Sus scrofa: one gene and its partners. The protein of the gene in region 2 binds, or shares a complex with, the protein of the main gene of each other region. Links are inferred from orthologs where the notes say so. Each region holds a gene or a part of one and is shown on either strand. Other genes may lie near its edges. The genes, in order: CHIC2, STUB1 and HSPB8.

The links.
Region 1: the proteins of STUB1 (region 2) and CHIC2 are in contact, whole or in part, in a crystal structure (PDB 8SUV), measured with the Homo sapiens proteins. The link is inferred for Sus scrofa from reciprocal best matches to the Homo sapiens genes STUB1 and CHIC2. Residues at the interface, in NP_005852.2 of Homo sapiens: Lys30, Asn34, Phe37, Tyr49, Val61, Asn65, Leu68, Leu71, Val94, Lys95, Phe98, Phe99, Gln102, Arg128, Asn130, Phe131, Gly132, Asp134, Ile135; in NP_036242.1 of Homo sapiens: Leu156, Pro157, Lys158, Thr159, Pro160, Ile161, Phe162, Arg163, Pro164, Asp165.
Region 3: STUB1 (region 2) and HSPB8 share a complex: the UniProt entries of both Homo sapiens proteins name them as parts of the chaperone-assisted selective autophagy (CASA) complex. The link is inferred for Sus scrofa from reciprocal best matches to the Homo sapiens genes STUB1 and HSPB8.

Annotation. Positions count from the first base shown.
Region 1 is NC_010450.4:40,794,612-40,798,523, reverse strand, and holds part of CHIC2 (cysteine-rich hydrophobic domain-containing protein 2), read left to right. Parts: intron 1-1,647; coding exon 1,648-1,704; intron 1,705-1,870; coding exon 1,871-1,930; intron 1,931-3,912.
Region 2 is NC_010445.4:41,092,178-41,096,852, reverse strand, and holds STUB1 (E3 ubiquitin-protein ligase CHIP), read left to right. Parts: upstream 1-1,671; 5' UTR 1,672-1,791; coding exon 1,792-1,950; intron 1,951-2,442; coding exon 2,443-2,641; intron 2,642-2,729; coding exon 2,730-2,895; intron 2,896-3,232; exon of another isoform or gene 3,233-3,374; coding exon 3,375-3,462; intron 3,463-3,614; coding exon 3,615-3,671; intron 3,672-3,758; coding exon 3,759-3,875; intron 3,876-3,952; coding exon 3,953-4,078; 3' UTR 4,079-4,339; downstream 4,340-4,675. Other genes in the region: uncharacterized protein LOC100524737, read right to left, coding at 259-422, 542-694, 874-1,033, 1,190-1,283, 1,356-1,483; JMJD8 (jmjC domain-containing protein 8), read right to left, coding at 4,386-4,466, 4,547-4,675. UniProt on the Homo sapiens protein: E3 ubiquitin-protein ligase which targets misfolded chaperone substrates towards proteasomal degradation.
Region 3 is NC_010456.5:33,636,767-33,641,296, reverse strand, and holds the start of HSPB8 (heat shock protein beta-8), read left to right. Parts: upstream 1-1,472; 5' UTR 1,473-2,080; coding exon 2,081-2,447; intron 2,448-4,530. UniProt on the Homo sapiens protein: Involved in the chaperone-assisted selective autophagy (CASA), a crucial process for protein quality control, particularly in mechanical strained cells and tissues such as muscle. Displays temperature-dependent chaperone activity.

The DNA of each region.
Region 1 (3,912 bases), on a different chromosome or scaffold from region 2:
CTTTTTAAATTGGAAGTTGCATTGTGCTAAAGACCTAGTACAGATTTACGGAGGGCTGAAAGCAGTTAGATCATGTTCTTTTCATGGTGCGATTAGAATCAAATCGATTTCCCTACAGCCTTCAGCATTCAGATGGCAATTTTAACAAAGCTTGGGGGCTAGACAAGGGACAAAACGACTGAACTGAATGTTAATTACACTCTGCAGCCTTATTTTCTTTTGATTTGGGGCTGACTGGCAACTAAATTAACAAAAAGTGTGACCATAACTGCTGCCCTATTTTCATTTAAAAGGAGAGCTGCCTCTAAAAGGCTATCTTTACAAAGAAACAAGTGAGGTCTGCTGATCATTGTTAACAAGGGCACTTTTTTCCCTTTAAAATTCTTGCCCAAAAAACTGTTCAAAAAAAGTAGTGTAATAAATTAGTCATTGGCGTATTATTACCCAGAGAGTTAGTTGATTTTCTGATTTTTATGACATAAGTTTGGAAAATGTAAGGCAGTAGTAGTAGTAGTTATGAATTATAATTGGCACCTCTGTGACTGTGGTATGTCTCTAGCATGTTCAGCATGCTAAAAGGTAACATGGTAACTAGATTACAGTAGATACTTTAAATATTAACACATTTTATAACACTGAGCTATTCAAAACTAGCTGATCGTAACAATTTTCACCTAGCTCATCCTTGCTTGACATGCACATTTTCATATTTGATGATTAATACTTACTTAGTTGTGCCACATTAATAGAGCTAGATGCTTTTTCCCTTTCCTTGCAAGGAAGCTGCAGCTGCAGCAAGTTGCAGTTGATTCTTGTGGCAAAACTGTCCTGTTTGCACCTGCAGCTGTGTTGGTCTCATCCTAACACCTGGCACCATGAATTATGCTCCCTTTTATTCTTCCCAAGGAAGAAGCATTTCATGCTTCATAGTATATATTGCAAAAATCATGTGATCCTAAACATAAATTTCTTAGTTGATTCCTTTAACAGTAATATTTAGTAAAGAGATTTTTCAATAAAACTCATTTTGTTTGAAAACCAACAAAAATGATTGGTTTAAATGCAGTTTTGCCTCTGCTTGAAAATAGTTACCTATGGAATAATAAACCAGCTTTTAAATTTGGTCATCATTCTTATAACGTAAAAATTAGTTTGATTCGATAGCAAATTGATTTTAAATTAACTTTCAATTATTTCCTTCTTGAATTTATTCTAAAAGCCTTTTGCATTTTGTTACCTAATGCTTAACCTTTGTTTTAAAATATATATTAAAAAATAGAAGATGTATAAGGAAATCTTATTACTATTTAAGCATTACAAAAATATTTCTGAAAGAAATTGGGATTAAATTTGTATCATATGGTGAAAATTAGCTTTTTAGACTTTGCTGGTTTTAAATCAGAGCATAGTGTGTTTGAAACAGTTAAGAAACGCAATGGCGAAAAACCAAAACCATGTCTTAATCAAAATAGTGTTCTGTTTCTGTTCAGGCAGCTATTATAGTGCTCGAATGTTGATAGTGTTTATAGACCACCCTATACTCAGTCACTGTCTTATACCTCACTCCTTTTCACACAAAAAGCAGCTGCAAAACAAAGTTTTTCTAAAACCAGTCAAGAGTAAACTTTTTCCTCATTTGTCTTCCAGACACGAAGATCGATTGAGAAGTTATTAGAATGGGAAAACAATAGGTTATACCACAAGGTGAGTACCACAGGGAGCAGCTTCGTACTGTTGGGGTCTGAATTGCACAGTATGGAAACAGATGCTTTTGTTGAACTAAAAATATGAAAGGTGGATAAATGGGTTAGTCTGTGTGCTGCAATAAAATAGAGCTCATTTTTCTTCTTTTACTCTCCTACTTGTCTAGCTGTGCTTGCACTGGAGACTGAGCAAAAGGAAATGTGAAACGAATAACATGATGGAATATGTAAGTTAAAGGGCTGTTTTGTGAGTTTCTCTATTAAATGATCATTTATTTTGCTTCTGATCTTATTCTTTCCATGATTATTAATCAGCAAAGGTGTCAGGAGCTTAATCTCCTGAGCGCAAGGATTTTCTACGGTTCACAGATGCATGGTTTCATGTGCAAGACTGATTTATAAAGTTATGAATGACTTGAAAACAAGGCTTCACTGTGTTCTGAAAAATAATAAATTAATTGCCAAGATAAAATAGCCTGAACATGTGTTGATGGAGTGTGAAATTTTAGATGCTGTATAAAGAATAACCACAACTTTGGTTACGCAGCAAGTCAGATATGGCTTTTTTATATAATGCTAATCAGGTTTCCAAGTATGGAAGAAAACCTTTCAGCCAAGCCACTGGAGCTTAAGAAACCTTTAGCCTTTATAGATTTTAACTGCCCATACCTCCGTGGCCTTTAGAGAATCTTTCAAAGTGTTATTGGAATATTATTCTGTAAAAAGTATCTTAAAAGTAAACGGGAGATGAGATGGTACTTATCCTGTGTTTATTCGTTAAGTTATCTAAATGAGCATGTATATTCAATGGATTTTAGAATGGGATTTAATTTGCTGACTACTTGATTTACTTTATTTTTCTCCTTTTGAAAAGTTCAGAATGCTATAGAAAATTGTGACTCTTTATTCTCCCTTGAGTTTGGGTGTTTCATTTTAAATATGGAAAGGTTATTATATTAAAAGAAAAAGATCTGAGGAAGAGTTAAGTACCTGGAACATCATTTCTAACAAATTTCATCTATTCTTTGAAACAATATAGCCATCATAAGTAGTATATATGTATGTGTATATATAAAAGATTGATTAAAAGAGTGCTTAAATAGTTGGAAATTATCATACAATCATTTTTCTCTGTAGCATTTTCTCTTTCATTATCACACAGTAAAATCCCATTTCTAGCCTTGAACATAAAAGATGTCTTAAAGATGTGTCTTTTTTTTTTTTTATAGAATAGCTCTATTCAGTGAACCAAGTAATGAAGATTTTATCATTATTACATCAAACATGTTAATTTATGATGATAAAAAGGCACTTGATACCTCTTTATATAATAAAAGCACATTCACATAACTTATTTTGAGATAGACCTCTGGAAATGCTGGATTTGAATTTTCATCATAGATGATGAGAAAGATTATGTATTTTGTGAGGAGGGATGGATATCTAAGAGATTTAAAGGCTTTTGTGAAAAAATACTGACTATAAACCCAAACACTAAGCTCAAAATTGAGGCTTTTGTTTATTTACTTATTTTTTATTTACTTATTTTGCACATTTCTAAATTTACTTTGAAAAGGAGAACAACTTATTCCCAATTTCTAGATAGAACTGGAAGAATGTCATTCATTTATAAAATATGCTCATTATATTCATGTTTATTTTTTATTATTTGTTATTCATTTACATAATTTACTTCCAAAACATTCTGAACTATGTGCTCTGTGTATAAAATAGTTTCCTTTAATTTATCATAAATTTTTAGATAAACACTTTTCCTAGGGCCATTATATTTTTCACATCATCATAGAAGATATCCAGAAGAGTAGCTTTAAAACATTTGCTTTAAAAATGTATTTTTTCTAAATTTTCACAGAGTGTATATATATGTGTGTGTGTGTGTGTGTGTGTGTGTGTGAGAGAGAGTTGAATGAAGGGAAAACATAATTTTTAAAGCTTCCAAAAATAATTCTGAAAACTTAAGATAGTAAATGATCTATCAGATATATATATATATATTTGACCTAAACTTTTCTTTAACTTAGAGAAATTTCCTTTGTTAAAGGGAAATAATTTTCCTCTATTATATTTGAAATATTGGAGTCAATCTAAGAACGTGCAAATTTGTTACTAACTTTATTTTTATATGTGGCTTCTAAAGAGAAAAGTTTGTAGGATACACTCTTTAAAAACTAGTAATGATTCGAATATA
Region 2 (4,675 bases):
CTCTCAACTTGCTGAGCAAACTGCGAGGGCCCTTCCTTCCACGTGGGCCGCCTGGGCTTCCCCTCTTGCTTCTCTGCACCTGTCGTGAGCTGCGTCTGTGAGAGACGGGCCAGACGGGCTGGGGAGGGACTGTGGGCCTCACAGGCAGGTGTGAGTTCAGCAAGCATTTATTGGGCTCCTACAGCAGCCAGCCTCTGGCCCAGAGACTTGTGCCCTGAGGTCACAGAGCAGGTGAGCAGGATCTGGGCCACAGCCAAATCAGTCGGTCTGGGTCCGGCGCTTCTTGGCTGGCCTGGAGTCCTCGGGGGCGGCTGGGCTGGGACCGAGGTCGGGCAGCAGGTCAGGGCACAGCTTCTGCCCTATAGCCCAGGTCCACAGGGCTGTCTCCACACGATGCGGGGTCCACAGCCCTGAGGCACTGCCTAAGGAGGGGCAACAGGGAGTCTGGGGCCCAGGTCACCCTGCTCTGCTGGGAAGCTCTGCACCCTCCACCCTGACCAGAGTCCTGAATGCCCTCCCTCGCTGCCAGCAGTCTCCTCACCATGGCTCAGAGCTGTGGCTCGCTCCTGCACCCGGCTCAGGTACAGCAGGTAGTGCTTGAGGGTGTACTGCAGGGCTGGCAGACCGGGCACCGCGGCCACTGCCTCCTCAGACATGAAAGCTGCCACCTCGGGAGCTCCGGCAGCCAAGACCGCTATGGGCAGCAAACAGCCAACACTCAGGCCCCACCAGCCTCAAGACACCTTCGGGGCTGCCATTCGCAACAGCTCTTGGTGTCATGAACGTGGCCATCAGGCGATGTCCCAGGCAAATGTACTAACAGACCAGGTTCCGCCCGCGACCCTGCCAGGGCGCCAGGCTCTCCCGACTAACCCGAGGCCGTGGCCGGGCCCACGCCCCGCAGGGCGCGTAATTCCGTGACCGCGGCGTGCATGTCTGGCAGGAGGGGGAAGGCGGCAGCCGAGTGCTGCACCACCAACTCCGGGGCGTTGGCGCTGACGAGCTGATGCAGGCGCGGCCTGAAGCGGCCCCGCTGGTCAAGTCGGGGTGGGGGTCACGGGTGCTGGACCTCGCTAGGGGCCCCGCCCCACAGCGCGAGGGCCCGCCCCCGGGCGAGCCACGCCCACGCCCACACCGCTACGCCCCGCCCCGGAAGGAGGCCCCGCCCCCCAAGTGGGAAGTTCCTCACAGCCAGCTTCCAAGCCAGCAGCTGCCCCAGCTCTTCTCGAGTCACGTGCTTCTCCTCCCGGCCCTCGATGGCTGCGGGCAACGCCTCTCGATACCTGGAGAAGAGCTGTGACGGCGACTCCGGGCCACGGGGGTCCCCCGCCCACCCGATGCCCCTATCACCCTACCATCGGTCCAGGGCTTCCAGCCGCCCCTGGGGGCCCGCGCGCGCTCGGAGCACTTCCCCGTGGCGGCCCAGGACGGCGGCCCAGAGGCTCGGGTCCTCACAGCCCCAAAGGCCGCGGGCCGCCGCCATGTCCACGCGCCGGGGCAGGGCTTCGGGGGCGGGGCGCCGGGGCGCCGGGGTGGGCTTCCGCCCCGACGACCTCGGCTCTCCTCAGGTTGCCGACGCCGCGCGTCGAGTCGCCGCGAGCGCACGCTCCCTGCCAACCCCGCCCCCGCGGCGCGTTGGGGGCACGCGAGGCCCCGCCCAACCGCACGGCCGGAAGTTCCGGTGGCAGAGCGCAGGACTGGGCCCGAGCGGATCGCGGGCTCGGGGTGCGGGCGCTGGGCGGGCCGGGCGCGGAGCCTGGGAGCGGAGCCCAGGCCGTGCCGCGCGGCGCCATGAAGGGCAAGGAGGAGAAGGAGAGCGGCGCGCGGCTGGGCGCCGGCGGCGGCAGCCCGGAGAAGAGCCCGAGCGCGCAGGAGCTAAAGGAGCAGGGCAACCGGCTCTTCGTGGGCCGCAAGTACCCGGAGGCGGCGGCCTGCTACGGCCGCGCCATCGTGAGTGCGCCCGGGCCGCGGGAGGGGGCAGGCGTCGGGGCCGGAGGAGGGGCCGGGCCGGGCCGCGGCTTCGGCCCCGCGTCCTCCCCGGAGCCCCTGTCTGGCCGCCCCTACCGGACTTTCGGAGGGGATGCACTTCGGCTCTGAGGACTGAGTGATCTTCTCTCAGAGAGGCCAAGGCTACGGCTCCCGAGCCAGGGTTGGTGGTCAGAGAACTGTGGCGGGTGGGAGCTTCAGGGTGCTTGCAGCCCACTGGGCTGGGGGTCCAAGCCCAAAGCTGGGGATTTTCAGGAGTCTGGGAAACCTGTCTTCGCAAGACTCGTTGGAGTCGAGGGGGCGGGCTCAGGTAGGCTCCACCCTTCCTCCGCGCCCAGAGACCTGGGTGCTGAGAAACCTCTAGTGTCTTGATTCCAGCCGTGGGTCTCAAGCTAGGACAGAAAGGGCAGGCTGAACTCACTCCCTCATGTTGGCTGGTCCGGCCTTGGTCCCCAGACCCGGAATCCCTTGGTGGCAGTGTATTACACCAACCGGGCACTGTGCTACCTGAAGATGCAGCAGCACGAGCAAGCCCTGGCTGACTGCCGGCGCGCCCTGGAACTGGACAGCCAGTCTGTGAAAGCACACTTCTTCCTGGGGCAGTGCCAGTTGGAGATGGAGAGCTATGATGAGGCTATTGCCAACCTGCAGCGAGGTGGGCTTGCTGGCTGGCCTGTTCCAGGGTGCCTGGGACCAGGCGGGGGGACTGGCTCGAGGGTTACCCGGATCCTTTGTTCCCCCAGCCTACAACCTGGCCAAGGAGCAGCGGCTCAATTTTGGGGATGACATCCCCAGTGCTTTGCGCATTGCCAAGAAGAAACGCTGGAACAGCATCGAGGAGCGGCGCATCCACCAGGAGAACGAGCTGCACTCTTACCTCACTCGACTCATTGTGGCTGAGCGTGAGAGGTGGGCTGTGGTGTTCATGGGCTCCACCCCACCTCCCAAAGTCACCATTCTTTTTTTCCTTGTTTTTTTGTTTTCGTGTCTTTTCGCCATTTCTAGGGCCCCTCCTGTATCATGTGAAGGTTCCCAGGCTAGGGGTCCAATCGGAGCTCTAGCCGCCGGCCTACGCCAGAGCCACAGCAATGCGGGATCCGAGCCGTTGTCTGCGACCTACACCAGTTCTTGACAACGTCGGATCGTTAACCCACTGAGCAAGGCCGAGGTTCAAACCTGCAATCTCATGGTTCCTAGTCGGATTCATTAACCACTGAGCCATGACGGGAACTCGCAAAAGTCACCATTCTGAGTCGTGAACATAAGCGTTTATTGAGGACCAGCCTGGGAAAGCAGGAGATGAGGGAACAGGGCCTGAATCGGCCCAAGGTGGAGTCTGATCTCCTCTGGCCAGACCCATCTCTGATCAGCTGTGTGGTCCACCCCAGGGAGCTGGAAGAGTGTCAGCGGAACCACGAGGGTGAAGAGGATGACGGCCACATCCGGGCCCAGCAGGCCTGCATCGAGGCCAAGCATGTGAGGGTGCCCTGCCCACGTGTGGGTCCTGTGTGTATTTGCACGTGTGTGATGTGAGGTGACCCTGGCTCCTGTTGGGTCTTTGTGGGCGGGGTGCCTGGGGAAAGGCGACAGGGGCTCAAGCTTCTCTGGAGCTGCCTGGTTTTTTGTAGGATAAGTACTTGGCAGACATGGATGAGCTCTTCTCCCAGGTGGATGAGAAGAGAAAGGTAAGCTGCCTGTTCCCTGGGCCCTGTGGGTAGCAGGAGCCAGGGCAGTGCCCCTTCCCGCTCCTGACCTGAGCTTGGGTGCTGCAGAAGCGAGACATCCCTGACTACCTGTGTGGCAAGATCAGCTTCGAGCTGATGCGGGAGCCGTGCATCACGCCCAGTGGCATCACCTATGACCGCAAGGACATTGAGGAGCACCTGCAGGTAAGGGTCCGTAGCCGCTGGGGGCAGGGCCCACACCCACTGGGCATCTTCTCATTCTGATCCTGTTGCCACTGCAGCGCGTGGGCCACTTTGACCCTGTGACTCGGAGCCCCCTGACCCAGGAACAGCTCATCCCCAACCTGGCCATGAAGGAGGTCATTGATGCGTTCATCTCGGAGAATGGCTGGGTGGAGGACTACTGAGGCAGGGCAAGTGGGTGGGCCCCTCACCCACCCTGCCCAGTATCCTGGCTTCTTGGGAGGGCCTTGGGGCAGCAGCCCCTAGCCTCTGTACATAGTTCGTGTCCCTGGATCCCCACCCTGGTATCCCCAGCCCCAGCCCCACCAGTTCTGCTGGGCCATGAGGCTCCCCCATCCTCCTGTGCCAGAAGCGGCAGGTGAGGGTGGGCCAGGCCGAGGTTGCTGCTGCCACCACTGTCCCTGTAATAAAATCTGTGAGCACTATGGGGGCGTGTGCTGGTGTGCAACGGCTTACCAGCCACCCCCTGGGTTAGCTGAGGAACGTAGAGATGAAGACGCTGATGTCAAGGTTGAGTGTGGCGTGCCACCATCGGTCAGGGAAATACAGCACCTAGTGGATGGGGTGAGAAAGGCACAGGGATTGGTTGCAGGCCCTTGGCCCGGCCCAGCCCCTGCCTGCCAACCACTGACCTCACCGGCCTGGATGGTGCATTCCAGGGGCCGTGCAGATGGTGCCAGGGCTGGGTATGTGTCCCGGAGCCAAGCCAGTGTGGTCTTGTTGGGATGGAACTCGGGTGTCTTCTCAGGGGGATACAGGAA
Region 3 (4,530 bases), on a different chromosome or scaffold from region 2:
TGAAGCTCGAGCCGGTGACCTCACCCTAGTCACTGGGGACGAGGGCGCCCCAATCTCCTTTCCTGGGCCCAGAGACTGGGCGGCGGGGGGGGGGGGGGGTGCAGTGGCAGTAGCGGCGGGGTCTGGATCCTTCAGCTCCGCACAGACTTTCGGGTCCCCACCGAGGTCGTGCCGCCCCCCAGCGGTGTGCGAGGACCACGCTCGCCGCAGTTTCCTCATCTGCGAAATGGGCGTGGTGACGGCGCCCGCGTGGCAGTGGTGAGGGTTCAGGGCAGCTGCTCACTGCGTGGCAGGTACAGAGCAGGCAGGAATGATGGGGACTGTTGTTGTTTTCCATACTATTATTTTTAGCAAACTGCCTCACGTGGGCCCAGCTTAATACCAAAAGGATTTCTCAACCCATGACTCACTGAATTCCTTAACACCCCCAGCCCAGCCCACCCCACCCCACAAGGAAGGCGGGGCCCAGACCCTAAGCCCTGAGAGAGAGGATGGCACGCCCCCAGACAGCACACCTGCTGGGGACAGATCAAAAACTGGAATGGGAGCTCAAGGGGCCTTGAGATCAAAGGACAAGGTGTAAATTCAAGGGCACGGAGGGGCAGGGAAACCCAGAAAAGAGGTCTTCTCTGGGCTTGGAGTTTCAGACCGGACACCCTCCTTGAATTCAGCATCTTTGGGTAATTATCATTATTAACTGTCATCGTAGTAATAGAAGCTACCACTGGCTAACACTCCCTATGGTGGTTTCCCCTTCTGTAAGCTGGGGATAAGGCAGTACCCTTGCCTCACAGGACTGTTGGTGAGGATGAAGCCAGTGAATGTTTGTAAAGCATTTTTAGATCAGGGCCTGGCATCTAGCAAGTTTTATGTCATTGAGAAGCAACATTGAAAATATAAAATGTCAGTCTGCCGAATGCTTAAGGAGGATGACCTCATGGTGAGGAGGCTATTATTACTCTCCATTTTACAGGAGGGAAAACTGACAGCTCACAGCCACCTGGGGAAGAATGGTGACTCCGCTCAGAGGGTGCAAAAGGTGAGCTCCAAGAGCTTGAAGATGCTGGAGGGTTAGAAGGTGGGGATGGCAGGAGTTCCCTGGTGGTCTAGTGGGTTAAGGAGCTGGCGCTGTCATTGCAGCGGTTTGGGTTGCCGCTGTGGTGCAGGTTCGATCCCTGGCCCAGGGAACTTTCGATTGCCCTGGGGGCACAGCAAAAAAAAGAAAAAAAAAAAAAAAAGAAGAAGTGGGGAGGGATTGCAACCCTGGGCCATCTTCCTGCAAAACCGCTAGGCTCCTGTCTCTCTCCTCCCCTTCTCCAGGTCCCCAGGGGGTAGGCAGGATGCAGCAGGCTCTGGGGAAGGTATTTCCAGAGGGTGACCTGAGCCCTCAGCCAGGCGAGGGTTATTAATAGCCAGGCCTTAGTGCCCTGCTGGGGGCGGGCTCCCGAGGAGGGAGAGAGAGGGAGCGGGAGCGGGAGCGGGAGGGGGGCGGAGCGGAGCGCAGCTGGGGGAGGAGTGTCCGGAGAGGCTGGCAGAACTTGGCAGAGAAGGCCCCTCCCAGCCCCCTGGGAGCCCAGCTGTTCCCTCCGCGGGATTCTCGGGGGGCTGGTTCATCACCTCCGAATACTCCTGTGACAGGAGGCACTTGCAAAACCCGCCTCCAGCCCCCAGCAGCAATAAATAGAAGGCTCCCAGCCCAGAAGCAAGGAGAAGTTTCTAGGCCTGCGTCCTCGGTGTTTATTAAGCTCCCGGCTCCACCAGCGGCTCTGGCTGAGAGCCTGGACCGCCTGGGCGGAGGGTGGCTGGCTGTTCTCCGGGGAGGCTGGTGTGGAGAAGGGGGCCTGGAGAATTCTGCTGGACCAGCTAGGGGTCGGCTTTGGTGGCTGGAGCGTCTTTGGAGGCTGGGACCCCGGCCTGGTGTGACAGCCTCCGTCCCTGGCAGTGGATGGTTCAGCATTATTCCGAAGCTGAAGAATAAGCTTGGAAGACCCGCATACCCACACCACCTTGCTGTGTGAGACCTTGAGCAGGTGGCTCCCTCTCTCTGAGCCTCCGTTTCCCCTCTAGCTCAGCGGCCACCATGGCTGACGGTCAGATGCCCTTCCCCTGCCACTACGCCAGCCGCCGGCGCCGGGACCCCTTCCGAGACTCCCCTCTGTCCTCCCGCCTGTTGGACGATGGCTTTGGCATGGACCCCTTCCCAGACGACCTGACTGCCTCTTGGCCCGACTGGGCCCTGCCTCGTCTCTCCTCTGCCTGGCCAGGGACCTTGAGGTCGGGCATGGTGCCCCGGGGGCCAACGTCGATGGCCAGATTTGGGGTCCCTGCCGAGGGCAGGAGCCCCCCACCCTTCCCTGGGGAGCCCTGGAAAGTGTGTGTCAACGTGCACAGCTTTAAGCCGGAGGAGCTGATGGTAAAGACCAAGGATGGCTACGTGGAGGTGTCTGGTGAGTGGGGAGCAGTGGGGGGAGAGAGACTTGGGGTGGGGGGGCAGTGTGGGCTTCAACCTGGAATAGCCAAGGGACCGTTCCCTAAGAAGGGAAGCTGTGACAGCAGGACACAGGTGACTTCAGGGCCCAGGAATGCAGCCCATACAAGCTATCTTTACCGAAAAGCACTCCTCTCCTGGCTTCCAGGAGAAATTTTAACCTGGCTCAGCTGCTGGGTCCTTTGGGCACTGCATCAACCAGCGAACAAGAGGGAAAAAGCCACATGGAGAGTTTTGATAGAATTTAATATAAAGAAAAAGCTTTGCAGATATAAAAGGTGGAAAAAGCCGGAAAGAAAGTGGGGTTCCTGCACCCCAGCATCAAGACACTGTCCGGGAGGGGGGTGCCTGTTGCTGTGTCATGATAGTACCTAGCACAGGATTCAAGAGAAACACCTTCTCTGGTCCCCAGGAAGGAAACTGAGGCAGAGTCGTCAGTATAGGGAGGCAACTTGGTAACCCTGATAGACCCTCACTCTCTGCCAGGAACTGTGCTCAGCACTTTGCCTGTGGCATCTCTGAACATAACCAGAGGAGGTGAGTCCTGCCTATCTCCTCACAAATGAGGAAATAGAGGCCCAAAACCTGCTCAAGGCCGACCAGGAATCATGCCCAGGGTGAGGAGACCAGAAGCAAATCGATGGTTTGCTGAGCACCCAGCAGGTGCCCAGGGCGACAACCTGTATATTCCTGCTCACAAATCATCCTCACTCTAGCCCTGAGATGCTGCATGGGTGTCAGGTCCCATTTTGCAGCTGAGGAGTTTGAGGCCTAGGCAGGGACTCCTCCAAGGTCACGCCGTGAGTCAGCAGTCGGATGAGTCTGGGGCTGCCCACGCCACATCCCAGCCTGGGAGACAGGATGTTTTGCAGAACAGGAAAGAGGAGTCGGAGGTTCAGTCCCTGTTAAGCAGGGTGGCAGGGAAAAGGCTTTCAGTCCCTTCCCTCCCAATTAACGCTCCATTAAAAAGAGCTTGTTCCTGGCAGGCTCCACCAGCCAGAAAATCAATAAAAGCCATTGCAGACAGGTTGGGCAGGAACAAGCCTGGGGCGGGAGGTTGGGGGGGGGGTGTGGGGGTAGGGGGGGGATAATGCTTTCAAAACCTCCCAGGGCAAAATTATAAATATCAGTGGCTCCGGAAGGTGTGGTGGGTCCTTGTATGGATGGAGGGGGCAGTCAGGGCTTTGTGAGTTGGCTGGGGAGCCAGGCATCTGAAACCACTTCTCTGTGCTGTTTCCTTATCTGGAAATTGGGGTTCAGACATGGCTACACTGCCTAAGGATTGTTGTCTTCAAGGAGATAATGCACGTGAAGTGTGCCCAGAGTGCCTAGAACACAAAGGATCAGTATTGTTATTGTTGTTGATGTTGTCATTACAATGCTAGGCACACAAATACATATATCCACATTTGTATATGCTAGATGCTCTTCGAGACCTGGGTTCAAATCCCACCACCGCTGTTCACTCTCTGGTTGGATATGGACAAGAAAGTCTTTTCACCATTCTGAGCCTCAGTTTCCGCATCTGAAGAAAGGCGGTCATAATAATATCCATCCTGCAGAGCTGTAGAGAAGATTAAATATGCACAGACACCCTATGATAATAAATGCAGAGTGTCTGTAAAAGGGAGCTAATAATAGTGTCTGCCTGGCACTCTGCAAACAAGGTGATTATTATCACCACTCTTCTTGTCTTTGTTTTAATCAGGGTTCCACCCCAGGGTGAAGGGTCTCCCATGCCCTTTGGCCCAGGAGACCTCTGTGCGGCCTGGAGGGCTTTTTCATCTATCCTCCTTTCTAAGTGCTTCTTAACGGGTGTGGTCTGGCAGCTCCAGGCTGAGATCCCAGCTGAGTACCTTACTAATCCAGAGGCTTTGAGTCAGTCACAGAGCCTCCGTTTCCACATCTGTAAAACGGGGTCATTGGAGGCTAAAATAAGACAGACAGACAGACAGACAAGGCCTTTCTAGGTTGTACATGTTTCATAGCCCTGCATTAGCAACCTCGGCTTGATGGCATCCCAGTCCCCCGAGACTTGTATA